Linked DNA regions of Lytechinus pictus. The protein of the gene in region 1 purifies or fractionates together with the protein of each later gene. This does not show direct contact. Links are inferred from orthologs where the notes say so. Each region holds a gene or a part of one and is shown in the gene's direction. Other genes may lie near its edges. The genes, in order: nipped-B-like protein A, structural maintenance of chromosomes protein 1A-like and structural maintenance of chromosomes protein 3-like.

Region 1 (10,471 bases):
AAAAGTCAGGAAAAGTGAAGAATGAATAAAAAAAAGAAAACGAAAAAACATTAATGGAAAGAATAAAGAAAAAGATTTTTTTAAATTGATAGAAGAAAGACACAGAGAGGAAAGTAAAGAAAGAGAGTAAATAGAGAATGAACAAAAATAAAGAATAAAACACAAGAAAGTAAATAAGACACAAGAGTGTCAGAAAGCAGAAATTTAAAAAAATGAAAGAAAGAACAAACGAATGAACGAAAAAAGTAAAAAAGAACCCAAAAATAAAAAGAAAAAAAGAAAAGAAAAAAAAATTAGGGGAAAAATTAATATTAAGGGAAGAAAGAAAAAGGGAACAAAAGGAAAAGCACGTATAAAGATGAAAGAAAAAAAATAAGGAAGAAATAAAAAGATTACAAAAATGTGACGGAAGAAAAATGAAAAGAAAAGAAAGAGAGAAAGGGGAAAGAATAAAAGCAGAAATAAAGACTTATTCAAGAAAAGAAAGAAAGGGATAAAATGAAAAGGGAAAATAAAAAAGGAAGAAAGATGAAGAATAAATGAAACAAAGCAAAAGAAAAGTAAAGAAATTAAGATTCAAAAGAATAAAACAAAAGATATAAATGAAGAATGAACTTAAAGAAAGGAAGAAAGACAGACACTATAAAGGAAGAAAGACAGATAGAAAGGAAGAAAAAGAGAAAATAAATAAAGAAAAAAGGGATAGAAAAAAGAGACGGGAAAATAAAGGGTGAATGAAAGAAAGGGTGGGAGGAATATTTGTGGGTACTTGTTACTAGTGGCCATCGATTTTAAGCAAGAAAGAACGCGGACATCGTGAGATATGATAACCCTCTAGATATCTGAAATATCATAAATATTGTGAAAGATAAGAGAGAGAAAAGATAAGAACGTTTTCAGAATACCACTTATCTACATTTTGTTCTTATCTTTTTAGCGCGCTTTTGTATTATATGCACGAGTAATACATTTACGCGCTCAGCATAGGATATTTAGCAAGATAAGAAAAAGATAAGAACAAAAGATAAGAAAAAGATAACAACGTTTTCAGAATACCAATTTGAGATTGTGACGTAGATAAGAACAAAATTAAGATAAGAACGTTTTCAGAATACCGCCCCTGGTGTCTTGGTGAATAAAAATAGATGGATAAAATTCACACAAGGCGGTTCACGAACCACCAGTCTCGCCTGATTTTGTGATCAATGCAATATGACCTTCTGACCCAAGATGACCTTTAACCTTATCATCCTCATGAACACACACGTAGTATTACCCAAGGATCAACTACCAAGTGTAAACACAATTGATACAGAAATAAAGAAATGAGAGCAAGTTGAACAAAAACTTGAAAAAATGGACATGACCTCATATCATTTGACCCATAGATGACCTTTGACCCAATCATCCTCATGACCACACATGTGGTATTGGCAATTTGTACAAGTGTGATCATAATTGGTGAAATAAAAAAAATGAGAGCAAGTTGAGCAAAATCTTGACCTTGTGACCCCGTTCATCCTCAACAATTAACACACACAAATGGTAATTAATACCCAAAGATCATTTGTACCAAGTGTAAACACTATATTGATGCAGAAATAAAGAAATTATATAAATTTGAACAAAAACTTGACCTTTTGATGACCTCTGACCCCATCATCCTTGGCAACAAACATATATATGTGATATTACCCAAGGCCAAGCCAACAAACCATTTGACCCAGGCAAGTGTGATAAAAATTGATGCAGAAATAAAGAAATTAGAACAAGTTGAACAAAAACTTAAAGGGGATCGATGGACATGCCATCATATTATTTGACCTTTTGACCCCATCATCCTTGGCAACAAACATATATATGTGATATTACCCAAGGCCAAGCCAACAAACCATTTGACCCAGGCAAGTGTGATAAAAATTGATGCAGATATAAAGAAATTAGAACAAGTTGAACAAAAACTTAAAGGGGATCGATGGACATGCCATCATATTATTTGACCTTTTGACCCCATCATTCTCACCATGGGCTCACAGTCACATCTACCAAAATCATAACTACCAAGTATGATAGTGGTCCCCAAGTCTGCGCACCTAACGATTTGAGTTAAGATTTAACATGAATATCTTATTTCACAAAATCTCTGTTTCAAATTCTTTATTTTTCAACCATTTTGAATCAGATTTTTTAATGAATATATGTATTGCATGTGTAAAGTTTGTGTTTGTTGCATATCTTCTTCAACTAGAATTGCGCAGACACACGTGTGTGCACATAAGGGGGACTGCGCAGACGACAAGTTTGGGGAACAACTTGATGCAGAATTTAAATTTTTTTAAAGAGCAAGTTGAACAAAAACTTTTTTCTTACAAAACCAGACTAACCATGCTGCAGCAACAGGAAAAGTGATTACAATTCACAGGGGTACGGCCCACTAGGTCTGTGTCGAACTTCATTCAGCAAAATCAATATAAAAGCAGCTTCATGCCCTCACCTCAGCCAAGCCATGCTTAATTTGGGCCAAGGGCAAGGCCATGCCAGACAAAAAATGAAATGTCAAGTCAAGATGTGATTAATTTTGTTATCATAGCCTAGGTAATGATCATGATGATGTTATACTGTAGGAAACCGAAACCCAAGAGAAGCAATCTTATTGGAAAGAGTAAAATGAGAAGCAAATTAAAAAAGTTTCATCAAAACCTGTTATGAAATAAGCAAGTTATGGACGTTCGAAAGTCTTGTTGTACTTCTATGGAGGTCCTCAAATTGGCAAACGTGCTTCAAAATGGTTGATTTTGTTGACACCTCCGCATTTAATTCTCAGATTTTCCCCTTTAATTATTTTACATATTTTCACATTATCTCCTCCTGATCTTGACATATGTGATGTGACTTATATTTTCCCATGACAAATGATGTGCTCAGGAGGCAAGATGCAATTTGAAAGATATTAGATGAGGAAAATCTGAAAATTTGTGTACGAAACAAAATGGAGAGTTGTCCACAAAATCAGCCATTTTGAAGCACGTTTGCCAATTTGAGGGTCCCCATAGAAAATACAGGACTTTTTAAACGTCCATAACTTGCTTATTTCATAAACAATTTTGATGAAACCTTTTTTTTTATTGTTCCTCTCATTTTACTCTTTCCAATAAGATTGCTTCTCTTCTTGGGTTTTCAGTTGGTTTCCTAGCTTTAAGAATAAGACTTTGGGAGGGTGGTGCTGTGTGTTAATTTGCACTTAATTTGTAGCCACCCAGGACCAAAATCCAGTTGAAACCAATTAGAGCAAAACCAATTGAAACCAGTTGGCCAACTGGTTTCAATATGGAAATTGGAACAACTGGTTCCAATTGAAACCAGCTAGTTGCCAATTGAGCAACTGGAACCAGTTGGCAATTGGTTTTGCTCTAATTGGTTTCAACTGGATTTTGGTCCTGGGAGTTGTACCAATTTCCCTATTGAAACCAGGGAAATTGGAACAACTCCCAGGACCAAAATCCAGTTAAAACCAATTAGAGCAAAACCAATTGAAACTAGTTGGCCAACTGGTTTCAATATGGAAATTGGAACTACTGGTTCCAATTGAAACCAGCTAGTTGCCAATTGGTTCCAGTTAAAACCAATTGAGCAACTGGAACCAGTTGGCAATCGGTTTCAATTTGTTCCAGTTGTTCCAATTTCCCTATTAAAACCAGTTGAATCCAATTGGAGGCAACTGGTTTCAATTGGTTCCAGTTGAAACCAATAGGAGGCAACTGGAACCAGTTGAAACCAATTGGTTTCCAACTGGATCCAATTGGAATTAACTTAATTAGTTACAAATTAATTAGCATTTGCACTAACTATTGCTCATGCCAACACTGAAGCAGTGTTATATGTCTATTAATACCAATGTAAAGGGCATTGATAAAAATTAAAATACAGACTTTCATATGTATATATTTATATGGAAGATCTTCAAATATGTTTTATTTGATGTATTTTGGTAACAGTTAGTGGTGTACTATTTTAACCTATTGTAATTATAATCTATATTTATGAACATGGTTTTCACTGCAAGTATTCTAAACATTTATCTCAAAAAGTGTGGCACGTACTTGAGATTGAAAAGAAATGAATAGATACATTGTAAATGATGATAAATCACATAAAATATTAATCTGTACATATTGGCAGATAATATGCAAATCAACTGGTTTCAATTGGACGATCCAGTTGGGTAAAATTCTGGAAAATGTTCCAAATGGAAACCAATTGGTAGTCATTTCCAGTTATCCAATTGGTTCCAGTTATCCAACTGGTTCCAATTAAAAGTCATTTCCAGTTACCCAACTGGTCCCAGTTAGGATTTCCAGTTACTCAATTGGTTCCAGTTAGTTAGAAGTCATTTCCAGTTGGAAGACATTTCCAGTTACTCAACTGATTCCAGATAGGATTTCCAGTTACCCTTCTGGTTCCAGTTAGAAGTCATTTCCAGTTGGAAGACATTTCCAGTTACCCAACTGGTTCCAGTTAGGATCTCCAGTTACCAAACTGGTTCCAGTTGGAAGTCATTTCCAGTTACTCAACTGGTTCCAGATAGGATTTCCAGTTGCATGCCCGACTGCCACTGGTCAGTAGAGGCGCACGGCCAATATTGGAGACTGTCTCCAATGTGGGAGATTATCTCTGATATCAGAGACTTTTGTAAAGAATTTGGGTATCCAATATCAGAGACAGTCTCCAGTTTGGGAGACCAATTCCCTTTGTTTACATTTGCTGCAAAAGGATTACCTTGGCGGCAAATAAAAATGTGATAAGCAGATTCCTCATGAAAAATTACCCCTTTTCACCATCTACTTTAAAAATTCACCGTCTACTTTTGTTTTGATACGGATTTTTGTTGTCATTCACACACAGGTCTAACGAGTGGCAGTTTCCTGACATCTGGGCACAGACTGGAACCTCAAAAAAACGAAAAGTTCTCTCCTCTACCCCAGTCTCGATCGGCCATTTTGTTACGATTTTTAACAAAAATGGCCGATCGAAACGGGGGTAGAAGGAGAGAACTTTTCGTTTTTTTGAGGTTCCAGTCTGTTCCCAGATGTCAGGAAACTGCCACTCGTTAGACTTTCATCCATATAATCGTGGTAATTGTATACTTTCTGTTTTCACAATTCATTTGGAGAAATATTTAGACCATAAATCACCCTAGTCCGGTGAATATGGTCAAATACACGGTAAGCTTCTGGGCTCCCGCCCGCTGCGCGGGCGGGAGGTCTCTGGGTTAGGCCCATGCAAACTCACGCTGAACTAGCGGGCAATTCCTCTACGACTGGTGGGCTACAACAGGCAGCAATCACATCAGCTACCGCCGCGCTGCCTGGAGAGTGGAGTCAGGGCCTGGTCAGGATAGGCTGAGCTCTGTAATAATATACCCGGTACCGGTATTTGTAGACTTGCTTACGGAGCTCTGATCGATCCATCTGCCTCTCGGTATTAATTCAACATAGAATCTCGGTGTCCCCTCTAAAAAAATGAGAAAAACCGAGAAGTAAAAAGTATTTTACTTAGCCTTAGCCTAGGCCGACACACAACAGTTTTGTCCCAGCTAGCTACGCTGCACGTGGAACGACCACCGGATGTAAATATCCATTTAAACTTTGACCTTTATAATGAATGGCATTCGCGCAATGTACGGCAGACGATACTGCGATAGTGTCGGAAGTAAAATTGATAGACATCGCCATTTTGAATATTCGTGCACTTTTATTAAAAAGTAGTTAGTGACCAAAAATGTAATCAAAGATCAGAAAAGGGAATTTAAGCACACAGAGAAAAAATTTATTTCAATGCATCATGCTATCTTATATTACATTAATTATAGAAAAGGGCATTCGTTCAATTTATCAAAAAAGTTATGCGCGCACTACTATTTAGTACCCAATAACATTAATGTTACAAGTAAGTGATGCGGTTTTGTTGTTTTGGCGCGTCTAGTCATGATAAAAATTACGGAAAACCGGTAGATTTATGACATATTCACTGTCATTTTTCATTCTTCCATGAAACCTCATGGTTCCTTAAGATTCATGTAAGTTATAAACGGAGTATGATTTTCACGTTTGTTTTTGAGAAGTGTGTTATTGTCGTGTGTTTCGCTTGGGTGCCATTCACTAAATTATTGTTATACTGGCCGCCGCACACACTGTGCATATTGTGCGGGAATTCAATAGGTGCGTAGCCCGGCGTATGCCGGAGACGGGGGAAGAAGGGGCTGCATCTGTCTACGACGACGTGCCCGTACTCCGTAGTGACTGTGCAATTCAGAATCGAGGGCTTAAACAAAAGGGTTTTTGTTTTACTGCTCTGCAGTGATGTTACTGTTAGTCAGAGTCGGTAGACTTGTATTTGTAACATGCACAGCCAAGATTATTGTTATTTAACACTAGGCCTAGCCTACAGCTTTTCTGCAATATTTTCTGTTCTAAAATTTTAAAAAGACTAAATTTTTGTATTTATTGTAGGCCCCTAGGCCCTAAATAAAATTTCTTTTCACAAAAAACAGATAGAATCTAGTACTACGTTAGATCTCTATTTGCAGTTTTGCACCAATGTCGTGTTTGTTAAATATATGGTAGCCTAACTAATTGCAATGTTCATTTTCAAATTCCAGCTCAATAAATAATTCATAAAATCTTGGAATGTATCATTATCATAATATCAATCATGTTTCACGGCCAAGATTCAACATCCGGCATCCCCTGCCCCTCGTTCGACATACGTGTACACGCAGACGTACTAGTGCATTGCACGTTCAAGTCAATGCGTGCGAGAGTCGCTGAATTGCACCGCATGCGACGATGTGCAACTCGGAAGTTGCGGCAATCATTCGCTCCCGCATTGCGTTCAGGGCCCCTGTCAAATGAAACCGACCTTCAAGCATGTCTTGAGTCGATTTTTTTGCAAATTCAATGCTTTTTAGTGTTGAATTTTTCTCTTTTTTGATTGGAAATTTTGAATATACGATCCTAAATTTGCAAGAAAGTTATCGTACTCTGAACAGAACCAATAATTTCTTCATTTTTGGCACATTTGTGGGCGACCCTGCTTAAATCTGATGGAGCTAAGCCGCTGCGTGCTCTGGATATATGGCGCATATTCTGCATTTTTGGGGGAAATTTTGACTTTTTAAAGAGGATTTTTAGTGAAAATCAGGACTTTCTGGTGGTAAGTGATAGTGCCATGTATGAAGCCCCATGTCTGCGTACCTAAAACCCTAACTTAAGAATAAGTTTAGACATGAATTGAGTTTTATTCCACAAAAGTTTTCAGTTGATGTTCCCTATAATATATTTTTATGAGTAAGTGTGCCAAAAATCTCGTGAAAATTTGAAAGAAATATATGATTTTCTTGGAAAAAGTCATGGACGGTCATTTTCAGATCGAACAAAACAATGGTGACGTGCCCCTTGCTTGTCTGCGCACCCATTCACTTTACACACGATTCAATGATTTTGATAAGTAAGGCTGCATTTTGAGGCCGTCACATGAAATGCCCAAAATTCATTATTTTTCCACCATTTTGAGTCAGATTTTTAAAATGAATATCTGTCTATGTATTTCAGGTGTAAATTTTGTGGTCATTGCATATCTTATTTTATTAGAATCGCACAGATACACATGTGCGCAGACAAGGGGCACCTTACCATATATAAAAATGTGTTTGGTGTGTGTTTTGGTGTTTGTGCTGGCTTGTGAAATGGGTTTGCCATGTTGAATCTCGGCGCATGTCGAATTTAGGGCATGTATCAACACTATTCTTAAATCTATCCATGTTGGGAACTAAAGGAAATGTGTTGGACGGGAGTGAATTCCACAGCCGAGCCGTCCTTGGAATATATGAAGATTGGTGAAGAGAAGTATTTGACTTTGGGACAGTGACTCTGTAGGGGTGGGCAGCTGCAGTAGAGTGCGTCAAACGGACACTGGGGGCCAAGGGGGGGAGAATTCCAGACAACTCAAGGGATGGTTTAGGAACAGAGAGATGCAGCATTTCTCCGGTGCGCGAGTGGATAAAGCCCAACTTTGGAAGGGTCTTCAATTCTCAGGAGGCGGAGTGTTACTCTAGATCTAGACTCTAAATATTGTTAATATTTTGTGTCCCAATTAACTTAGAGTAAAGTGCCCAAATATCGGACACTTAAGCATAATTGGACCAAAACAAAAAATACAATCATTGAATCAAATAAAAATCATGTGTATTTCTGTAGTACGAATGTTGAATACCGGTATTAATGTCATAAAAAAATAGAATTGAAAAAAATATGGTAAAAGGAAATTATTTACTTACTACCAGAAGCTTGTTTTTTGCCAAATATCGGAAACTATTTCCAAATATCGGGCACGTAAAGTTGTGCCCCACGATCAATTTTGGTGATTTAAATCGCGCTCTAAACCCCAAAATAATTGCTTGATTGTTGAGAAAATAACTTATTTCAGCTGCGCAAATGCCGATTTTAATTGTGACTATCAATAATTTTTATATAGAAATCTGTAAATAATAATTATTTACTTACCAAACGTTACAAAAAAATGTCTCCAAAAAGTGCAATATAAGTTGTAGGTTTTCATTATAATGGTTTTCATTATAATAAGTTCACCAGATCAGAGTCCTTTGTTTATAGCTCAAATTTAAAACTGTCTACACAAGATTTAAAAAAAAATTATGTATGAGGATTGGTTTTTCCATCCTCAACGTGCTGGGTCAATAATAATATCTGAATTTCAAAGTTGATGGGTAAATACTTAAAGTAGCAACTTAATGGTGTAAATATCTCATGCTAAACACTATATTCCGTATTCTGACCAGGGCTCTGTAACACAAAGGTTTGCGATGAATTGCAAATATGAAAGAACCGCACCGCTTGGTCCCTGGTCAGTATTTTAAACCAAATGCGTGTGTAACATTGATATTGATTGGTCAGTTCATTTAGCGATTGATCTCTAATCTTTGTGTTACGGAGCCTTGGTTTTAAGTTGTGGTTTAACTCTGGAGAGCCATTTGGGGCACAAATCTCTATTAGTACTCATTCAATTTATTAACTCACATGACACTCAAATCATTCGTAACTGCTGGGAATGATAACTGAAGTAATTTTCTTTATTATAAAAGCAAATGGAAACAAAACAGTAAACATATAAAATATACAATGTAAACAGAATTTTTTAGTTTTTGGCTCTCAAAATTTTAGCACAGAGTTAGACCGTGGCCTAAGTTAAACCTGACATCAGAATACGGCCTATGTTTTTGTAGCTGCATTGTTGCAGTGATAAAAAAATTGATAATTCAAGGAAACAAAAATATTGTGTGTTAGAAACATACAGTGAGACACATGACAATGGTCGCAATGCACAATAACCTCTGATCTACACTTGTACATGTAAACATCAGATTTTCTTTTGTATGTTTTGTTGACTTTTCGTAGTATCCCTCCTCCTCCTATTCCAGACATGTATGAGTTGAAGTCTAAGATTTTTTTAGATCTTTGATGCAAGATCCCCAATCACATTGCTTAACCATTATCTAATTTAGATCGAATAAATATGCATATTCAGACCTTCATTTTTGAGGAGCGCGATCGCGCCGGCGCTCCTAAAAAAAAATAAGGAGAGCAAAAAATTGCGCTCCTGCTAAAATTTCACATTGATTTTACATCTTTAAATCCATGAAATGGCCATCTATTTTCCATAATTCCTTGAAATTATTTTGATTTAGTTGAAAACTATCAGAAAAATGAAGAATATTCACCTCTTTCCCGACTCTGATTTGAATTTAAACTCGGTAAATATTGTAGTCCCACATGTAGACTTCCATGGTGTTGCCATGAACACCATGGAAGTCTACATGTGGGACTACAATATTTACCGAGGTAAGTTCAAATCAGAATCAGGAAAGAGGTGAATATTTCTTCATTTTTTTGATAGTTTTCAACTAAATCAAAATAATTTTGAGGAATTATGGAAAATAGATGGCCATTTCATGGATTCAAAAATGTAAAATGTGAAATTTTTTAAATTTTTTAAATTTTTTTTTTAGCAGGAGCGTGATATTTTGTAAAAGTATTGACCCAGGCCTAGTTTCACCACAGATTAATTAATAGCTACACAGCTATTGCATATACGATGTTAAGAAAAATCTACAATTTATCATACCATACATGTATTGTATTGAATTGATTTGAGCTCCTCAAGGAGAGCGATTCTGAGGAGCTCAATTGAGCTCCTCAAAAAAATAAGTAGAGCGATTTTTAGAGCTCCACGAATTTCTAAACGTGAAGGACTGCATATTACTGGTAGTTGATTTCTCATATTTATTCTATTTTGCAGTTGTAAACCCCTATCATCAGAATGAATGGAGAAGTGCCAAGTGTTCCCATTACAACTCTTGCAGGAATAGCAAGTCTCACAGACTGTAAGTCACTTATTT
Region 2 (10,548 bases), on another chromosome or scaffold:
CAAAATGATAGGCGCACAGGACGATCCGAAAACTCGCAATCGCCAATGTTGTAAAAATGGGAGTTGTGAGGGTTATGTGATGGCACGAGACACATACGATATATATATACGATGGCACGAGTGGTTGGTTAATTACAAGTACGACACTGACACGGGTTACGACTCACTAATTACACAAATGGGTTACTTCGACGGTACAAGACAGTGACAACAACTAATACTCACCTGACACTTGCACTGACGATGCCACCAGGTAGATACAGATAACAGCTTTCTTCAAGACTTCTAATTAATGCAGGTTGCAGACCATGGCGCCGAGTGGGGAGCTTCTGGGATGTCCTCACTCGATGGCGTCTCGGGGTCTTCTCTCTCTGGTGTCTAGTCTGGATCTAATCTCTCAGCACCAGCTTGTGTACGTGCTGTGCAACGCACACACGTAGCAGGCGTAGGAGCATATAAAGGCTCCTCCAATCAGGAGCGCTCCTCGCATGCACACAGCACACACACAGACTTAATATACATGAACATAGATCAATACATAGACTAATACACAGACTAATACATATAGGGTACTACAGGTACATGGCAAATTTACTACACAGCCTTCAGATAAGCTGGACCCGCCCCTGTTGGAGCTGTGATTTTCCTCATTTCTTTCTCTGTCATCCTACTTGCATACTAGTAGGCATATTTTTATCACATATTTTTAGTAAAAGCCCTGATTTTAAATTGTGAGAAACACCTACTCGATTTTAAATCCTAGTAGATATCCTATAAATAAAAAGAAGAGAGAAAAAAAGACGTAGAAAAGAAAAAGAAAAAATAAAAAGGAAAAAGAACTAAATATTTGAATTTTACTTTATTCAATTACTTTTTTTTAAGAAAACAAACGTTAATAATATAATATATATGATGGCGAAAATATGATGTTGGTGACTGGTTGCCAAATAAAAATAAGAATCCCCTCCACCACACGCAACTAATCGCGCGTTTTGAGAACGCATGCTGTGATTGCGGTCATGCGTAGACAGACATGCAATGCATGTATGCACTAATAAGTTAGTGTATGCCCATAGAGATGTATACTAATATTACTCTATCTCTATGTATATGCCGTAGACCTGACTGCATTTGTATATACATAGACCTATTTAAAGTGATTTTCTGATCAAATTTTCTATCTGATTATGAAAAAGGCCAGAAATGAAAACTCACGGCCAAGATTTCTGTTTTACGGCCAGAATACGGCCAAATTTGTTTGGCCGTGAATTTTTTTTTTTTCACGGCCAAGCTACTTTTTTTACGGCCAGATTTCGGGAATCTGGCCGGAAAAAAGGCCAGTTGGCAACCCTGGTTGCAAGAAACTTGCGATCAATTGCAAGTCTATTTTCATTCCCGAAATCAAGCAAATGCGGTGCAATTAATTGCAAATTTGCGATTGATTGCTAATCTGCTCCATGAAACAAGGAGTGTAATCTGATTTTCTAAAGACAAAGTTAAAACTTAAAAGTGACCAATCAACTGTAAAATTGCAAAAGAATATTTGTGATTGATTGCAAATATTTTCTTGCAACACCCCATAAGACAGTTAGAGTTAGACAGAGCCCACTCACACTATTGCGAGGTTAGTTTATGCTATACGAACCTCGCACAACCAACATGTTTTTGTAGTGGATTTTAGAGTTGTCGTTAACATCGCTTCATAACGTGAATGATGTTAGCCGAAACCCATTCCGCTACTCACCAGGGCTTTTTCTGGTAGAAAGTGTTCCATTATCAATTTTTAACATTTTTTTATTTAAAAAGGACACAAAAAAGAGCAAAATCGCTTACCTCCGCCTGGAAAGTGGCTTCGCACGTCTCTTCCACGGAAATAAAAGGAAGGTCGTTGGTGGCGCTAATACAGTTCGCTACCTTAATTCAGCTTGGTGGTATTTTTGTCTCGCCTGCGTGGCGGAGCGAGACATAGGTATCACTATTTCCGGCGTCGTCGTCGTCAACAATTGTGTTGTACACCCAATAACTTTCTATAGCTTCGAGGTAGGATCACCAAATTCATACCAGAGGTCCATCTCCTGAAGGCACAGGTCAAATTCGAATATGAGTCGAATTTGATTAAGGTCAAAGGTCAATGAACTTTCCATGACTGGCACTGTACTATGTTGTACACCCAATAACTTTCTATAGCTTTGAGGTAGGATCACCAAAGTCATACAAGAGGTCCATCTCCTGAAGGCGCAGGTCAAGTTCGAATATGAGTCGAATTTGATGAAGGTCAAAGGTCAGTGAACTTTCCATGACTGGCACTGTGCTATGTTGTACACATAATAACTTTCTATATCTTCGAGGTGGGATCACCAAATTTATACCAGAGGTCCATCTCTTGAAGGCACAGGTCAAGTTCGAATATGAGTTGAATTTGAATAAGGTCAAAGGTCAAAAGTCAATGAACTTTCCATGACTGGCACTGTGCTGTGTTGTACACACAATAACTTTATATAGCTTCGAAGTGAGATCGCCAAATTCATAACAGAGGTCCATCTCCTGAAGGCACAGGTCAAGTTTGAATATGAGTCGAATTTGATTAAGGTCAAAGGTCAGTGAACTTTCCATGACTGGCACTGTGCTATGTTGTACACATAATAACTTTCTATATCTTCGAGGTGGGATCACCAAATTCATACCAGAGGTCCAACTCCTGAAGGCACAGGTCAAGTTCGAATATGAGTCGATTTTGAATAAGGTCAAAGGTCAATGAACTTTCCATGACTAGCACTGTGCTGTGTTGATCGCCAAATTCATAACAGAGGTCCATCTTTTGAAGGTGCAGGTCAAGTTCGAATATGAGTTGAATTTGATAAAGGTCAAAGGTCAATGAACTTTCCATGACTGGCACTGTGCTGTGTTGTACACATAATAACTTTTTATATCTTCGAGGTAGGATCGCCAAATTCATATAAGAGGTCCATCTCTTGAAGGTGCAGGTCAAGTTCGAATGTGAGTTGAATTTGATTAAGGTCAAAGGTCAATGAACTTTCCATGACTGGCACTGTGCTGTATTGTACACACAATAACTTTCTATAGCTTCGAGGTGGGATCGCCAAACTCGTAACAGAGGTCCATCTCTTGAAGTTGCAGCCTCAGAAGTCATATAGCATAGTTTTGACATGCAGTCTCTTCAGGACTGCAATATGCAGGCGAGACAACGCTTGGCGTTTGCCTTGTTTAAACTAGATTCATGATTCATTGTATGCGCAATTCCAATAATTGTTTGATAAAATAGAGACCCCAATAAATGCAATAACTTAAAAAAAGTACTTTTTTATTATTTTTGCTGACGATATTCAAAACGATGACAAATTAAACAAAAAATATAGAAAATTCTATGTACCTTGAACAAAGCCCCGCAAGTGCTACCGTTCGTTTGTCAATTAACGTTCCACCAAAGTCTTTACAGTAAAAAGATTGAACACTTTGCCGACTTCGCGTAACGCTTTGCATCGATTTACGTGTAAGATAATTTCTGTGTCTAGTCTTTCAATTGTAGTGTCTTTGATATGAAGATAAATCACGCGCCCTCTTTCGCTCATTAGACGAAAAATTTAAGAGCTAGAAAGGTAGCTCTCGTATTTTGTCAACGAGAAGAAAAATCAACGCTTAAATGACGCATTTTGAGGGATATTCATCGAATTATGAGGAATTGACTTCACATCGTTTCGTAAGTTTCGTAGGAGGACTTCATTCTGTAAGTCCTTGTATTAATTTTTCGTAAATTAACGTTATTTGTTGAATGCACCGTGCCTTCAATTATTCTGTAGTCGGCGGCTGAGATGTAGCCGTGGGTGGACAGAGCCAGGCCCAGGGTGAAAATTGAAATCAGTTTGTTTCTCTAGTCTTGACTTTAATTTTATCGAACCTCAGTCATACGCCTTTAATGCGTTAGTATAAATATGAAAAATGAGAGGTTTCGTACCACTGGTACCAGACCGATCTCGTGTAGATCCTTTGGCCTCGGGCAAGAGTTCCATATGATATGCACCCCCCACTAAAATTGAAAATAAAAACATGGAGAAGGCCAAAAAGGTTCAGAATAATATATCTAGACCTAAAATAGATCTAGAAGTTTATGATGGGGAGTGTAAATACCAAAATATGGCTTTATTCCGTCAAATTTCGAGCAGGATCTAGTGTGTGTAATTGTCCATAGACATTGATTTATTTAGTCAGTAAAATAAGGGTCTGTGAGTCAAGACTAGTCGAACTATCGGCTGATAATCGTTAAAATATACCCCTTCTGGTATCAGCGCTTCTCGCAAGCGTAGCGGAAAGAGGTCTTGACTGCAGATAAAACGAGGTGAGTTCAAGTCCCAACTAAGGTAAGCAACAGTAAAAAAATGACAGAAAAATCTGAAGTGAACGAACCGGAAGTCTCAACAATCTTTTGTTATTTTTGGTGGGGGGTGCATATGGAACTCTTTCCATCCCTCGATCCATTCGTGAACACCGCAAATACAAATAGGCATGACCCTACCCTTGGCCTTGAACTGCTTCGTTATGAGTATGACCAGTACTCAGTAGAGGCGCTAGTCAGAAAATTGGGATCGTCCCGGTTTACAGGGACTGTCAGTTTTCAAAGATTTCTCCACACAAGAAATCTAGGAAAGTTCATTCTCCTGTCAAGTGCCGACCCCAATTAAATGGGCTAGTCAATGTAAACATATCAGGTTTCATAACAAGATTATTGGAAGATGGCAAGTTGTGAAAAATAGACGGTGAACTGGAGGGTTATTGAGGTCACTGAATCTATTTTTAGCATTCTCAACGCCGTAATTGCCGTTTATGTCCTGCAGGGTTAAGTGAAAAAAAAAACTCCCCATATCAAGGACAATCTCAATTTATCAAGACATGATTTGTCTTGGTTTATGAGGATATCTTTGTTTTCTAGGACAATCCCAAATTTTGGACCAGCGCCTCTACTGACATGACTGATGACGTAGCTTCGATAAGCGATGTTACAAAATGCCGTTTCATAGATCAATTTATAGATAAAAATTATTATTCAACCAATAGTTCTAGACCATAATAAATTTTGAAACTTGATTATAAATAGATCTAATTATTATTGTAGTAGTAATTATTTATAATCAAGTTTTAAATTTTATTTGTTAAATCATAATTTTTATCTATAAATTGATCTTCAAAACGCACAGTGGCAAATTGTCCATAGACTGTGTACAACGGATAGACAGTCTCTGCACAGCGATTCGGAGACTGCTGATTGGTCAATCGCGCAGATCATGTCATGACTACATGGTCGCCAAAATAATTCCTTCAGACTGCATGCGAAAGTATCGATAGCGATAACGATATCCGGTCACATTGTCTATGCGGGAAATGGTCTTGGTTCGTGATCAGATCGCTCCAGTATCGATCGAAAATTATCGAGACTTCAGCAGGTATGTTAATGTATCACATGCATGCAAGTCCCCCGCGAGTGCGGGTCCCTGTAGTTGTGGGGAGGGAGTTTAAGTAATTTTTGTCCGATATTTGGGGGTTTTACTCTAGATCTAGTCGTAATGCATTTGTATGGCACTCGCAGTAATACACAAGTCAAATGCACACAACTATGACGACAAGGCTTGTTGGTGCTCTCTCACTCTTTTATACCTTTATACCGGATCTACTGGAAAAATACAGTTGTTTCTGCAGACAAGTTTCCAGGTCAATCTTGTATGTTGTCTTCCTATCTAGGGTATTAAATTTCTCATTCTGTGTCCTGTAACATGCAGTGAAAAGGGTCACTGTTCCCATGGGTGGTCATAATGCAACGAAGACCAAACCTTGTCTTGTCTTGGGTTAAAGGGGAATCCAGCCTTGGCCATAAAATGTTGTGTTAGGAAGGAGAAAAATAAATTAAACAGAAGGGTGAAAGTTTGAAAGAAATCGGACAAGCAATAAGAAAGTTATAGCTGCTTTAAATTGAGATCACCAATACTATGTAGATTTCAAATTGGCAACTGGGTAAGTAAATTATGACAGGGGGCAAGGACAACTTTCCCATAGGCCATGTACTTTATGATCAGGGATTTGCGGTTTTCTCCTAAGTACCCATTCCCCTGGGGCAGTAATCTAAATATAACCCAGGTAGTATATTGTTTTATGTCCTCATGGAAGAAAAATATAATTTGAAATAAAACTTTTGGGGAAAATGACATTTTAGCCATAATATGTATTGGAGTACGTGGAAGAGTAGTCCTTGCCTTACATCACTCTGACATCCCATATGCGGCCAGTTTGAAGCCTCCATGGGTAAAGTGATTACCAATATTTACAACTTTTAAAAATTCATAACTTTCTTGTTTGTCCAATATTGTTCAAACTTTCACCTATCAACTTGTCTGATTTTTCTTTTCCTTATAAAAACAAGTTTTTATTTGGGTTGGATTCCCCTTTAAGTCGGCATATGCAGACTTGCTGTACTCTGCCAACTTCATTGATGAGTGTGAGATCACCGAGTCTTGAAGCTATTGACCGTTGATGCTGTAACTACTTCAGATGGCAAAGAATTCCAGTCATTGACCCCTCTGACACTGAAAGTTTTCTGTCTCGTATTCAGTATATTCCTTTCCATAAACAGCTTGTATAGATGGCCACTCGTTGCTTGAGTGATAGCTGATGTGAAGAATAGATCTCTATTCACATCATCAATGCCATGAATGTCCCTCCTTTGTCCCTTCTGGTAGTGGTAGCTGGTTGAAAGGATTTTAATTGGTTAAATGAATTGGTGAGAGTGCTATGAAACAGCCTTTCTCATTTGAAATTGCATCATAAATATGTGTGCCTTTAGGATATAAAGTAAAAAAAAAATTGTTCTCAGAATACAAATTTGGAGAGAATTTATGGATATTATTTATTTCACTGATTTCAACAATCTAGATAAACAAAATATTTTATCTTGAGATAAAATGCATCAACGAATACCACCCCTGTGCATTTACTTGTATCTTGAAGATAATCTTCCTGATTGCAAGTGTAAATATCAAATAGTAATTGCAAGTTTAAATTTCATATACCCGGTAGTAAATTAAGATCCCTTAAATATTGAATATTTCTCCTATGCTTGCAAATTGTAGATATACTAAACTTGCATTCTTGAATGTTGATTGTAATTTTGCAGGAAAGTCCAACTTGATGGATGCCATCAGTTTTGTACTGGGAGAGAAAACATCCAATCTTCGTGTTAAACGACTTTCTGAGCTGATTCATGGAGCTCCTATTGGCAAACCAGCATCTAATCGGGCTACAGTCTCAGCAATCTATTCTGAAGAAGATGGTAGCGAGACACAGTTTACCCGGATGTAAATCAATTTTCATTCTGTTTGTTTACAATTAGGGAAAAAAACATTTTTGGTGCCCTTCATGATCCCTAGCCAAAGGGGATGTTGCATCTTGCAGAAAAACTTGTTTGCAGTTTTCAATGTGAAATTTATTGTAGTTTATGTCCATATTCCACAGCAAAACAAATGTTCTGATGTTTGCAAGTTGGAAAAAGTGAAAAATCATATTACAGTTTTAGGCAAATAGTAGTAGCATAGTGTGGGGGGGGGGGTTAAAGTGGAAATATAGCTTGTAAATTTATCAATCTTTATGGGTGATAGTGGTATAGCAAAATCAGTTCTTTTTTTTTCTTTTCTCTTTTTGCATCAGTAAACCAGCATTCAATTCCAAAATTTCAAGTAAAACTTGTGATGATTGATTTTGAGTCAAGATTTGCAATCAATAGATGTAGGAAGATAGAAGAGCCACTTGACATTCTTTGTCAGAAATGGTAGTTCTGTGGATTTCCTTGATTTGTTGTCAAATTGCTTGTTTAATTTGCTTCAAGTATTGTTACAAGCTTTGATGCAATTCATAGACAGTTAGAAGCGTTCAGAAAATGTGTCATGGTTTATTCATGAAAAGTTGATTGTGTTGCAATTTTATTTGACTGCCATTCAGAATCATGGGAGCTTCTTCAGAATACAGGATTGATAATAAAGTGGTTAGTGCAGCACAGTATGCAGAAGCCTTGGAGAAGATTGGTATCCTTGTCAAAGCTAGGAACTTTCTAGTGTTCCAGGTAAGGGAAAATGAAATTTTTTATAATTTGAAAACAGTTACCAGTATTAATTTGATATTTTTGTGAGATGTGAAACTAGCCACAATGATTACATGTATGTCCCAGCAATGATCACTTATCACACCTGATATGTATTTTAAACTTTCTTAAGATCAAATGCCAGGTCCCTATTGCAAATTTTCTATTAATTATAAGTTCACCAATCAATGTTAACCACCACAGTGACGTTTCTCAACAACAAATAAAAATCGAGGATAGAAATGATTGTTGCTGTGGGTGGCAAGTTTAAAAATCTATATGCCAAGTATTGTCACAGCGCCCCCATTGGTAGAGTCCATGTTATCATCGTGATTGTGAGATTATTTAGGTATACGTATGATAAATCAATCTACAGGATTTGGTTATCGTGGCTGTTATCCTTGCTATCTCTTGATTTATCTCTCATGTTATTGGTCCCTCCATGGTCGCCAAAAATGTCACTTGTTTGTTGCCTGGTTTTGAATTTAGGATCAATTTATTGATAAATATGTTGGATAACACACGACCAATAACATGAGAAATGGTAAAAGCATGAAGTATATATTTCCACTGTTTAATTCAATATTCTCACAATGGCAGCTTATTAAGCATGCAATAAGCATCTAATATTTCATCCGACCATTTAAGACTGATTTTGTTTGTTTAAATTTGAGTGGACACCTACTGAAGAAATCAATCAATCATTGCATGTAGTAAACAAATCATGATAAGAGTTCTCCCTTGTTTGTTTGAATAAGAAAGGAGTTTTTGAATTATCTATAACATTCTATCGATTTCGGATAAGTCCTACTTTCTTTCGATGAAAGTGGATGACCAATTCCAACACCTCTACACTTTGACGAACGAAAACTTCTCGAGTTGATGGTCTTAGTGAAAGTGATAGGTAATCATCAGGAACGCAGCGTCATTCCTCAATATCATTCATGTTGTTGACGGCAAGTCCGTCAAAGACCCAATTACATTGAAATTAGGTATAGCTATTGCAACAAATGTACAGTCAGGCACAGAGCCGGTGTCCTATTTCTTGACAGACACGGGACTCTCTCTTAGCCCAGCTAAGCGGTAGACCAAAACTGCAAGGATATCTTGGTGATTCCGGTCCTTGTTGCTGAATCATGGCGTGTTTGGCAGTCATGAAGGATTTTAGGATTTGCCAGCCTGTAATTGCTAGTGTTGAATCTCTTAAAGCCCTCTTAACACCAGTCTCAACATTTAGGACACATTAGCAACATCTCTCACACACAAGGAGGTGAACATAACCTACCCCAACCAAGGTTGAAATATGATCTGCCTAGGGTATCTAGCTCACAATGCTCCCTCCAACACACACCTCAATTTCTACCAATAATCTCACTGCCTGTCCCTATCAACAAGCAGCAGAAAACAATTTAATTGCATTCATCTTTTTTTTTTTGGGGGGGGCCTCATTTTGTGTCAGTTCTGTGCAGTGTAGCAGAAAAGAGGAGGATTAAGCAAAAAAAGAATAGTGTGCAAGCTCCTAACAATGCAGCAGCCCTTTTTGTGTTCAGGAATGTATGCAGTTGGTTAAACATATGCACTAAAAGTATAAGACTAAGACAGAATAAATGTCTTCACTAGTCCTGAAAAAAAAAAATGTCCAAGGTGACAATTTACATAATGCATTGTTGTTTATGTTTTATTCATAAAATGTAAATGCTTTAATACTAATATAGATAAGTTAAGATGAAGTGAAAGTACTATCAAGCATGTTATGCTTTCCCTTTTATATATTGTTCTTTTTTTTCATACCTGTACAGTACTCACTCTTTTATCAGCTTTAGCTGTTATGTAAGCACCCACTGGATAAGGTCAAATGTCTTTGTTGACTACAGTAATTCAGTTAACTTTATTTGACCCTGGCAGTCTAGTGGGTGCTCAATCTATACTCTTATGTTCATTATGTGTTGTAATACAGTGTACCAATTTGATATACTTTTCATTGCCGAAATAAAATAATAATAAGTTACCATGGTCATAAAGTTAGCCATCAGTTCCCTAATGCATTGCGACATAAGATTATGATTCATGAAGTATGTGGGGCTTGTTAAAACTGTTCTGTAGTTACATTATGGATAATTGTTACTAATGCTCCTTCTGATGTGTATTATTTGTATACATAATTGTCATAGGGTGCTGTTGAGTCAATTGCCATGAAGAATCCCAAGGAGCGAACTGCCCTCTTTGAAGAAATCAGTCGCTCTGGTGAACTACGGGAAGAGTACGAGCAACGTAAGGCTAATATGATCAAAGCAGAGGAAGACACACAGTTCAACTACCATAAGAAGAAGGGTATCGCTGCTGAACGCAAGGAAGCTAAACTTGAAAAAGAAGAAGCAGAGAGATACCAGAAACTCAAAGAAGAATTGGTA
Region 3 (10,895 bases), on another chromosome or scaffold:
CACGTGCTTAGCGCTCGCATACGTTGTTTTCGTTAGATACGCATCATTTTCATGATAAAAAACCCCGGACTAGAATATTATGTTTTATTTTGACTGGTCGAGTGCAGAGTATATACACAATAGACCTATATTTTGAAAGGGGTGCGATTTTAGCACTTGCCCGGGCCTCGTTTGTTCTAGATACGCCACTGTGGACATGGTGGACATTAAATTAAACAATGCGAGCGAATAGCGCGAGCTGAATATTATTATGGCCCGACAACTGGACATTCTAAGCAGGTTTTTTTAATGTAAATATCAAATTATATGTACCTCAGTAAACAATAATTGCAAGCGCGAAGCACAATAAGCTATTTTTTACATGTAGACATAAAAACTAGACATTCCTTTTGCACTTCTTGTAATAATGAATACGAAGGGTATATCATGCTCAACAATATATATTTTTTTATATATAATTGATCATGACTGGACGTTGTAAAACAATAAAGAACAAGCTGTTTGTAGCGCGAACTAAATTTACTGACATAAAAGTGAATATCTTAAAAGCGCTGCCCAACACGTAAGAAACTTGTGAAGATGATAATGGAACAGTCTGAATGATGCGAGCGCGAAGCGCGAGCTAACAATTTTGGCGACTGGGACATATGGCCGGGCAATTTTAATCACTGTACGTAAAAAAGAATGGGCTTGATTGTAAGGCGATTTAGACCTAAAACCTATATACATTCAAATCTCTCTCGGAACATGAAGCAATTAATTAGAACCGCCCTGTGTGACAGTATATTCTAATCACTGTTGGTATAGCATATATATACACGGAGTAATGGAACATTCCTTCGTGACCCAACAGTTATATCATTTTTCCGGTAGGCGTCAGTCCGACAGCCTCTTTTCTTTTCATTTTTTTTCTTTCCTTCCACTTTTCTTCTTTCTCTTCTTCCCCATCCTCACTTCTATTTTCCCCCTCTCCCCCTTACCCCGACATGGGAAGGGGGGGGGGGTCATACCCTGTTAGAGACGGCCTTTTAATATAATAATACAATAATGCTCATTCACAAGAATTTGTTTTAAAATACACGAATTTAAGTGTATTGTTATGTGATAGTTGTGGTGATGATGTATGACTAATTGTTCCATGGAATTTGAATGTTTCAGTGATTGGATCGAGCAGAAAAGGGAACTTTCGTGATTGATAACGTGTGACTAATTACACTATTTCATTTTTCATTATTTTCCCCAAATGAATGATATCATGAGGATATATTATTTTACATTTGTTTTATATTGATTTGTTATACTTGTATTTATTAGAAATTTTCATATTGTAATGCTAATTTAATTTATTTATTTTTAGGGACCCCGGGGAAGAACAGGTTGGCTATCAATAGCCAATCTGAAACGGGTCTATACCTACGATTCTGTATTACATGCATTGTAAGCTTCATTACTGTTATATTGTTAATTTGTTATATTGGTTTTTTTTTAATTATTTGATTATGTAATGCTATTTTGTTTATATTTATGCATTTTTTTTAATCGTGAATATAACCAACCAATATAAACAATACCAGATCGAAGGTAAAGGATGCTTCATATACGCTGAGGTTTCATATAAATTGTATGAAGAAAATCAATAACCAATTTACAGGTTTTCAGGTAAACGAGCTAGAAAAGAACACAAAACACTATTTTCACGTAAGGTTCATATAGTAATCAGGGATGTGTAAAAAAAATCAGACTTCTTTTTTACTGTAAAGAATTTACGGAAGGAGGATCGAGAGAGGGGAAGCAGAAGAAAAGAAAAGAGCGGCCGAAAGAAATGGAAAATGTAAAAGAAAAGTGATATGATTTGAAAGATGTCATGAGCGGATTATATGGCGGAGAAACTGAAAGAATTATTGACCCCAATCATGGATAAAATTAAATACGATTCCTACCCCTTACAAAAAAACCATTCAAATAAAAAAAATGAAAAAACCAACAAAGTTTATGGATAATAATTTGTAGGTCTAATAGTCATTATAGTCCGGGGTCTAGGAGTTGAGATGTTTTGGGTTTGCAACTACCCTATCTACCACGTTCCAAAATAAAGTCCAAAACGGATAGGCCCCGATCGATCGGAGGGGGGGGGGGCAATACGTTGATCATGTTGATCATATAGTTTCTCCCCGGGAGTTTCTCATAAGCATCTTACGTGAAGATAGGCCTACCGAAGATTTTGATGGGACGGGAAATCCGGGATGGGAATATCTTTGTTGGGGGAGCTCGTGGAGAACGTAAAAACACACACACACACCCACAAAAAAAAAAAAAACCACGATGGTGGATGTTTCCATGCCAGGGGGGGGGGGGAGAAGGAGAGGTCACTGCCTTTATTCCGAGTTCCTACCCAGCTATGCCCCGTGCATGTAAACATGCACATGACACACGAAGGCCTGTGACTACGTGGACGTAACATGGCCAGAGTGGAGTTCGGATACATATTACAGCTCCATGATAGTGCATTACATGGAGCTCCGGGATGGAGCTATATTGCATTCTCTTCTCGAATCAGTCGACGGACGTTTGCTATATCGTGACCAGGTAAAAGAGAATTATCAACAACCACAAGGATATATCTTGTAGTGCATGCAAAGGTAAACTAAAGAAAAGAACAGAGGGGATTTTTTTTTTTTTTTTTGGGGGGGGGCACAATATAGCTTCTGGAAAATCACGCTCCATCCCCGGCCCCCATGATCCACAAAAAAAAACTACTATTACTCTACACTGTAGATCCGAGATTGTATTTGTAGCCCCGGTTTGTCGCGTTCTTTTCTGTTGTAGTCGTTTTATTTGCTACTAATTTACGTCGCCAAAATATAAATTCATCAAAATCCCATGGTCTGTAAGTCTACAAAGTTCATTATGAGGCATACATGTAGCATATTCAAATGTACAGACAACAGACGGAATGGACATTCACGAGTTCGACACAGTTTGACAGTATGATCATGGACCTATGATATTCCCCCACAAGCGACACACACAGCTACACCCTTTCACACAGGCAATAACGCACATGCATCGATCGCGTATCGCACACACCGAGCGGAGACACAGAAAAAACCCAAAACAAACTAACTTCGCCCACAGATCACGCAAGAAGCGAAATTCCCCGTGGTAAGCTCCGCCTACTTTCTTGCATACATCACAAGGTGGCGCTATATAATATCGATTTAAATTGGAAACAGAATCATGAATCAACCGTCGAGAAGTGCATTTTTCTCTTCAAACATTGCCTCAGATTTTCAGTTTTTAAAAACACTTCCCGAACATGTTATGATCCCAAACTTTCACATGGGTATTTTTGAGCTGTTAGTCAAATGTTCATACCATTTTCAAAAAGCAATATGATAATTTTTTTAATTGCTCACAAAGTGAAACAATCCCTTTAAGTACGTTTTTTTTTATTTTTTTTTTTTTTACAAAATCGTAATTTATTGAGAAAAATCATCTCTATATGTCTCTATTTCATAAAACTTACACAAATATTGTTATTAGATTAATGTAATTTCAGATAACTTGTTTTTTTTTTCAATCATTTTGTTAAAACCAGGGTGAGATATACACATGTTTCAATGTTGTTTTTTTTCATCTGCAAGAGCAGTGCGCATTTTAGCTTTCATGCAGCTTGAGCGCCGCGATGAGCGAGTGCGCCACACATTTTATTATGAAATACACTTTTTTGGGGAAAAATACATTTTTTTAATCACAGAATACCGGTACAATTTTTCATTCCCAGAGGTTGGCAGGTCTGCTTCCCCAGTAGGTTTAGGGCTAAGTGTGTGTATGCATCGAGGTATTAGAGACCTCTCTGTTATGCACACACACTGAGCATAGCCATGTACAGCGCTGCTGTAGCATGGCCACATGACAGTTAGTGTTGAGGGCTCTCATTCCAATGTACAGAATATATTTTTATTATTCTTTTCTCCATATATGACAATAGTTTGGAGCTCTATCTTGACTATGAAACTATGCACTAGTAATGTAATAGATGAATAAAAAATAATTCATACACTGTACTTGCTGCTTAATCAATTAGCGGGTAGGTATTGTGAATGTAACCTTCCCAAATACTGGATTTATGGAAAGTGAGATTTAGGCATACAAAGGTTGCTATCCATCTTTCATGGGAATAGTGCAGGGGATAATTTCTCTTCCCATATTCGATTAGCATTTTTTTATCATTAGAGAAAAGCTCCCGACTAAGTTCTTTTTAGTCTTATTTAAAAGTCTGCTGCACAAAAAAACAAACATGTGCATTACTCAGACCTGCCAACCAGTACGTTTTAGCCGTATTTAGTACATTTTTGCAACCAAAATACGGCAGTTTTTTATTACAAAATCGTAATTTATTGGGAAAAATCATCTCTATATGTCTCTATTTCATAAAACGTACACAAATATGGTTATTAGATCAATGTAATTCCAGGTAACTTGTTTTTTTTTTCAATCATTTTGTAAAAACCAGGGTGAGATATACACAAGTTTCAATGTTTTTTTTTTCATCTGCAAAAGCAGTGCGCATTTTACCTTGCATGCAGCTTGAGCGTCGTGATGGGCGAGTGCGCCAAGCATTTTATTATGAAATGCACTTTTTTTGGGAAAAATACAAAATATTCATCTCACACGGTAAAAATACTGATTTTTTTTGGTCAAAATACTGATTTTTGGGGATAAGAATACTGAAAATGCAAAATACAACTTGGCAACTCTGATTACTAACAGTCTTCAAAGAATGTGGAGCAAATTGCGGTGCAAAACCAGTAGAAATTATTCCCTGTTGTGACAAATAAAGCACTACAAATATCGGCTAGATTAGCCCCCGAACCGAACTACCTGATATAGTAAGTACGGCAGATTAGTCCAGTTACAATTTTTCACATTTGACTTGTTCAATGTTGTTTTTAATTTTTTAGCATGAATAAGCCTGTTCACGGTTGTAAACTGTGCACGAGCAGAAAAAGGTCATTTGAGATAAACCATGAAGGTGGCTTTCAAATTCACCGACATAGGCATTTGTGATTTGATGATTATTCATGTATTCCTTTCAAAATATTCATTTTATCACATCCAAGCTGAAGAGTAATTAAATAGAGCCTTCATAATCACTGGTATTTGACAGTAGCCTAAACAATAGTCAAATGTGCCAAAGGCAGACAATAAAACAGATTTCCAAACTTTATCCCTGATGTACTATTCTAGTCACCTGGTCTATACAATGCCTTTTGTTCCTAGAATTTGAATACCCTACCGGTAAAGCTTACGCAATATCTACATTTGAAAATGATAGTGCTTATCCTAATGAAAATTCACAAAGGTCATTTGAGAAAAGTTGATCATGAGCTAACCGTGAACTGGCTTATTGAGTTGCCTTCCTTTTCTCCAGGTAGTGCTAATATGAATTTTTATTATTTTTTTATCTATAGCCATCCAGTTTGTTCTCAGCGACGAGTTCAACAATCTACGTCCTGAGCAGCGTCAGGGTTTACTGCATGAAGGTACTGGTCCAAGGGTCATTTCTGCCTTTGTCGAGATCATCTTTGAGAACAGCGACAACAGGATTCCTGTAAGTATACACTTGTGGGCTAGCAAATTTTTTCAGGGGTAGCCAGATTTCGGCAATAAATTCAAAGAATACAGAGCTCTTTTTTTTTTTGTCCTTATTTCAAATAATTTTGTCTTGTCTCATCTGTCATTTCTCCCACACTTTATGTCTTTTTGGCTATGTGTTTTTAGCTCGTCCCCAATCAAATGAGAGTGCACCCATCAGTATCAAAATCGTTTATTCTAGCCATATGAACAAGTCAAACATATACTTTTTCTTTAGGGAAATTTCCTGGGGATTTACAAAAAAGGCATTGAAAAGTGCTGACATCTTACGACTTGTGATTTGATGAATAGAAACCTTATTGTAAAATTTGCAGATATTGAATTATTGTACAATCCATACAGTACAATGCAAAAGATGTAGCGAGTGAGTGACATCACTGACTCATATTTGCATATCACCTTGTTGCTCATATAAATGTTTCATGAATCACATGAAAAAAAAAAAGATGTTTAATGAAGAATACGCAAAATTTTAAAATGTTAGGAAATTTCTTATCTTACATGTGATTCCGATGGTATTTTCACCATTATAGTTGTTTGGATTGTGTCTTTTTATTCAATCAATGTTTTGTTAGCTTGGACTTGCCCTTGATAAAGGTTGTGTCGAGGATACATCACTGACCTGGGCCCCGTCTTACAAAGAGTTGCGATTGATCCAATCAATCACTCGATGGAAATCCATCAGTGTCATAATTTTTTTCTACGAAAAATTTGCACAATGTCGTTTGTATGCGAAGAGAAGCGCAGTGAATTTTCAAGAAAACAATGATTGCATGATTATACATCATCGCTAGAAAATATTTTGAAGAAACATGCATATTAGATACGATTATGAAAGTTCATCTGTGTTGGTAAAAGATCCGTTATTTTCTGTTTTTTGTGTTGTGAACCAAAGTTCAACAAAATTGTTATGCATAATAGATGTTGACGTTGCTGGTCGTCCATAGTTGCGATTGATCGGATCAATCGTAACTCTTTGTAAGACGGGGACCCTGGATTCACTTCTCATATATACATGATCATAACTATTTTTACAGATTGAAAAAGAAGAGGTGACCTTGCGTCGTGTCATTGGATCTAAGAAAGATCAGTATTTCTTGGACAAGAAAATGGTCACGTAAGTTGATACCATTTTTAGTAAAGAGTAGTAACAAGAGGTCAAGTTTATATTGCTTAAGCCACATTGGTGGTAGGTGAGTTGCAGACTTATGGGAAATTCACCCTGTTGACAAGTTGGTCTATTTAAGGCAGAAAAAAAGAAAAAAAAATAATGGTGAAGGTTGGATGGAAATATGTCAAAGAATATCAGTTATGAATTTTGTTTTGATTTTGTGACATCACAGTTGAGTAACTCCTCCAAATGAGTTGACTTAGCTAGCAAGCCTTTCCAGCCCACTAGGCACCGCGTTTATGTCCCTACACAATCAGGGGCGAGAAGCACCCATGTGCAAATCAACTTTCCTTGGAAAAAAAATGCATGGTTGTTGTAACAGTAAAACTGATGCATATCACATGATTAGCTCTTAGCTAGTCATTTCATAAGGATCCCTATAACACCAGTCAACCATTGCTAGTATGCATCCATTTTGTGTTGTACAATTCAATCTTTTGATTGCTTGGTACAACTTAGTCTCCATAACTCAGAGTCTCAGACTTCTATTATTTGTTGTTTATAAATAATTATGTCGCATTTAATTTTTGATCTTGCATCTGTTTTTTTTTTCAACCGTTGGGTTCCTTTAAAGAAGACCCTTGTATATATGTGTCCTTTTGAAATATATTTTTTTCAATAATGTGGCTTCTATATCTTTTATTGACTACAGAAAAACTGATGTAATGAATTTGCTGGAGAGTGCAGGATTTTCCAGGAGTAATCCTTATTACGTGGTCAAACAAGGAAAGGTATGGAATTTTATTTGTCAAACAGCAAAATAATCTGAATAAATATGAATGAAATAAAACGAGTATATTAAACAAATCAGATGTACATGTAAAATGAGTTATAAATATGAAATTTGTACTGGGGCAAATCTATGGTGAGTGCTGTTACCATTATACTTTGCCTCTTTATTACTATCGATAAGTAAGTTAGAGATGGTGTTATCTCAGATCCTCATTTCTTATCACATAAGTTGAAAAGAGTAGTTATTAACTGGCATGGGACTACAATTTTTATTATATATTGTAGTCCCATGTGTAGATTTTTATGTAGTAGATAGAGTGTGACATCAACTGAAAACAATCTTCAGAGTCAAGGAAGAAGGAATATTCTCCATTTTCTTGATAGTTTCCAACTAAATCACTTTCAAGGAAATATAGAAAATAGATGAACATTCCATGGATGTAAAGATGTGAAATGTGAAATTTCAACCACTTTTTGGGGTAGTTCTTATTTTTTTTATTACCCTGCTGGTTAACTGTAACCAACCATGTAATGACTTAGGCCTAGGTATTCTATTTAAACCATTTGCATACTGGAATGTTTGTCATGGCAGATTAACCAGATGGCTACGGCCCCAGATTCTCAGCGTCTTAAACTATTGAGAGAAGTGGCTGGTACCAGAGTCTATGATGAAAGAAAGGCAGAGAGTCAAACAATTCTCAAAGAAACAGGTTTGCTACTCTTTTATATCATCCTTTCAGCATATGCATCTCCTTTTATAATGAAACGGATCACATACCCTCTTGTTATTTGGTTCAAATTTTCTGCTATTTATTCTCATTAGCATGCTAATGTTTTTTTTTATAAATTAGATTCTATCATGTTTAAACATCACCGCTGACTAACCCATAGAAGAAAAGACAATTTTTAATTTCTTCTTTCTCTAGACCACATTTGGGACTAGCCTATTGGGACCTGCAGTGGAGGAAGCCTTTTTATTTTGTCAAGCCATATTTCATCATTCTATTGTACTCTGTTTGGTGTTTAAATAATAGCAATGATGATAATATATACATTTGTGATCACCCGGCTCAACACAAACAAAAGTCAGCAAAATTATTCTTAGTTTTGTTTGTATATGGTTTGACATAACATATTCAAAGTTATAGGAAGATAATGTGAATTGTTGAGAAATAAAACTCAGGTTTTGTCTCGCCTAGATCTAGTGTGACGTCAATTGAATCCTTCTGTCATAGTCCTTAAAGAAAGGAATATTCAAAATTTTCTTGGTTGTTTCCAACTAAATACAAATATTTCAAATTGATTTTGATAGTAGATGGTTATTTCATGGATTTATATAGATATGATTATGAAATGCAAATTTCCAGCAACTTTTGGAGAATTTTTTTTCCTTTCCCATATGGACAGCAGTCAGCCCTAGTTTAGTAACATGTTAAGTCGTGTGTAAAGAGAAACCTTTTATTTTAAGACCCTGATCATATGACTTATTATTATATTACACTTTTTCAGAGGGTAAAAGAGAAAAGATTCAAGATTTGTTGAAGTACATTGAGGAAAGACTACAGACACTGGAGGAAGAGAAGGAAGAACTCAAGCAGTATCAGAAATGGGATAAGATGAGGAGGTTGGTATGAGAAATGGGATATAATTAGAAGGGTTTATTGAAGAAGGGTATCATGTAGGAATAAGACCAAGGCATTCCAGTTTTATCATGTTTTATTTATTCCAGTATTCCATTAAAACAAGCTCATCAGCACAAGTCATATTTCATTTTCTTAGACCCTTTTAAGCCTATATAGAGCTTTGGTAAAGGGCCAATAATGTGAATTGAGAGTCAATCCAAGGCTCACTAAAAACAGAAGGTGCAGCTCAGTGGCTGAAATGGCCATGTATACTCTAATATATAACATTTCAATCTTGCAATCTTCCAATGGCTGATTCTGTTAAAGTGCAAATTTGAAATTTGATAATTAATGTTTCTAGCACCCTCTCTCGATAATGTTTTTACTTTGCTTTAAAATTACCCTTTTATCACTTATTATATTAAATTATTAATTGGATAATAGAATCATGTCCTGAATTTTTTTAGCCCATTCCATGCTTGAGAATGGTTTTTATTAAAAAAGAAAATACAGGGATATTTTACTTTATCGGACACCCAATCAAAACGTTCATGCAAAATTGCAAAATTTACCCAATAAAAGGTAAGGTTTTATAATCTTATCATTCACACCTTAACTGTTTTAGGACATTATACTTTTATATAATGTAGTAATGAATTTGAATGGCAACATCCACCTCTTGCTAGAAATAGGCTTAAAGTACACTATTGAAAAAAACTTTGTGTTTTATTTTCTTTAGATCCCTTGAGTATACTATTCACAACCAGGAACTCATGGACACAAGGAAGAAACTTGAAGATGTAAGTCATTGATGTTTATCATAAATATGCCTCAGAAAAGTACCAAATATGCACAGTCTCTCTGAAAAAAAAAAAACTGTTCTAGGGCTTTTTGAAATAGATTTACAACCAACTTCTAATTGGATGTATAAATTAGCATAAGTCATAAAATATTATGTGTAAATGTAGTGAAGTTGAGCTATGCAACTGTAGATAACATCATTCTCTCCCATCTTGCAAATTTTCGGCATGATCCGGTCCCTCTCCCCTGGGACCAACAAAAATAAAAACACTGGGTAAATGGCTAATGTGATTACTGAATGATCTTTTTTTTATGCCCCCGCAGATGAAGTCTGGATGGGGCATTAAGCGTTGTCCTTCCGTCCGTCCCCCCACTTGGTTTCCGCGCAATAACTCGAAAAATATTAAATGGATTTAAATTTTTTTAGGTGTGTAGGTAGATGACACCAAAATACAGGCTAAGTTTGAATTCGGAGTCCGTAGGTCAGAGGTCACAGCTCATTTTATATGCGAGTTGGTTCAAAGGTCTAAATTTGCATTATATATATGCATATTGGTTTCTGCACGATATTAAGTTCAATCATATTGAATGAATTCCTGATCGCATTAAAGAGAAATTCCAGTAGTTGCAGTAAACACTGATTTCATGAGAAAGTCTGTAAAACCAGGCTTAATTGTCAGTATATCATCGAGGATCTAGATCTGGTACAGTTACATAAATTGAACTTTGTGAAATCTGGAAATCTACGCTGAAAAATGTTCAGACTGAACTTCCCCAACACAGATAAGCGCACGTGGGACAGTGTATAATTATTGCTTTGAGCGTCGGGCCCGACGCTCTACCCGAATCCTGTGCTTATTTGCTGATTTCTCAGCAATTACACAATTTCTTCCAGAATCCTTTGGCACATG

Evidence for each region.
Region 2: the proteins of nipped-B-like protein A (region 1) and structural maintenance of chromosomes protein 1A-like purify together in Homo sapiens (affinity purification with mass spectrometry; 3 studies listed by BioGRID and IntAct, with this or other methods). This does not show direct contact. The link is inferred for Lytechinus pictus from reciprocal best matches to the Homo sapiens genes NIPBL and SMC1A.
Region 3: the proteins of nipped-B-like protein A (region 1) and structural maintenance of chromosomes protein 3-like purify together in Homo sapiens (affinity purification with western blotting; 4 studies listed by BioGRID, with this or other methods). This does not show direct contact. The link is inferred for Lytechinus pictus from reciprocal best matches to the Homo sapiens genes NIPBL and SMC3.

What each region holds. Positions count from the first base shown.
Region 1 is NC_087255.1:30,316,132-30,326,602, reverse strand, and holds the start of nipped-B-like protein A, read left to right. Parts: upstream 1-5,927; 5' UTR 5,928-6,076; intron 6,077-10,371; 5' UTR 10,372-10,392; coding exon 10,393-10,456; intron 10,457-10,471. UniProt on the Homo sapiens protein: Plays an important role in the loading of the cohesin complex on to DNA. Forms a heterodimeric complex (also known as cohesin loading complex) with MAU2/SCC4 which mediates the loading of the cohesin complex onto chromatin.
Region 2 is NC_087247.1:37,510,502-37,521,049, reverse strand, and holds the start of structural maintenance of chromosomes protein 1A-like, read left to right. Parts: upstream 1-5,827; 5' UTR 5,828-7,116; coding exon 7,117-7,358; intron 7,359-7,998; coding exon 7,999-8,119; intron 8,120-10,308; coding exon 10,309-10,545; intron 10,546-10,548. UniProt on the Homo sapiens protein: Involved in chromosome cohesion during cell cycle and in DNA repair. Central component of cohesin complex. The cohesin complex is required for the cohesion of sister chromatids after DNA replication.
Region 3 is NC_087256.1:20,111,145-20,122,039, reverse strand, and holds the start of structural maintenance of chromosomes protein 3-like, read left to right. Parts: upstream 1-5,469; 5' UTR 5,470-5,614; intron 5,615-6,695; 5' UTR 6,696-6,767; coding exon 6,768-6,775; intron 6,776-7,481; coding exon 7,482-7,560; intron 7,561-8,153; coding exon 8,154-8,271; intron 8,272-9,070; coding exon 9,071-9,185; intron 9,186-9,922; coding exon 9,923-9,983; intron 9,984-10,895. UniProt on the Homo sapiens protein: Central component of cohesin, a complex required for chromosome cohesion during the cell cycle. The cohesin complex may form a large proteinaceous ring within which sister chromatids can be trapped.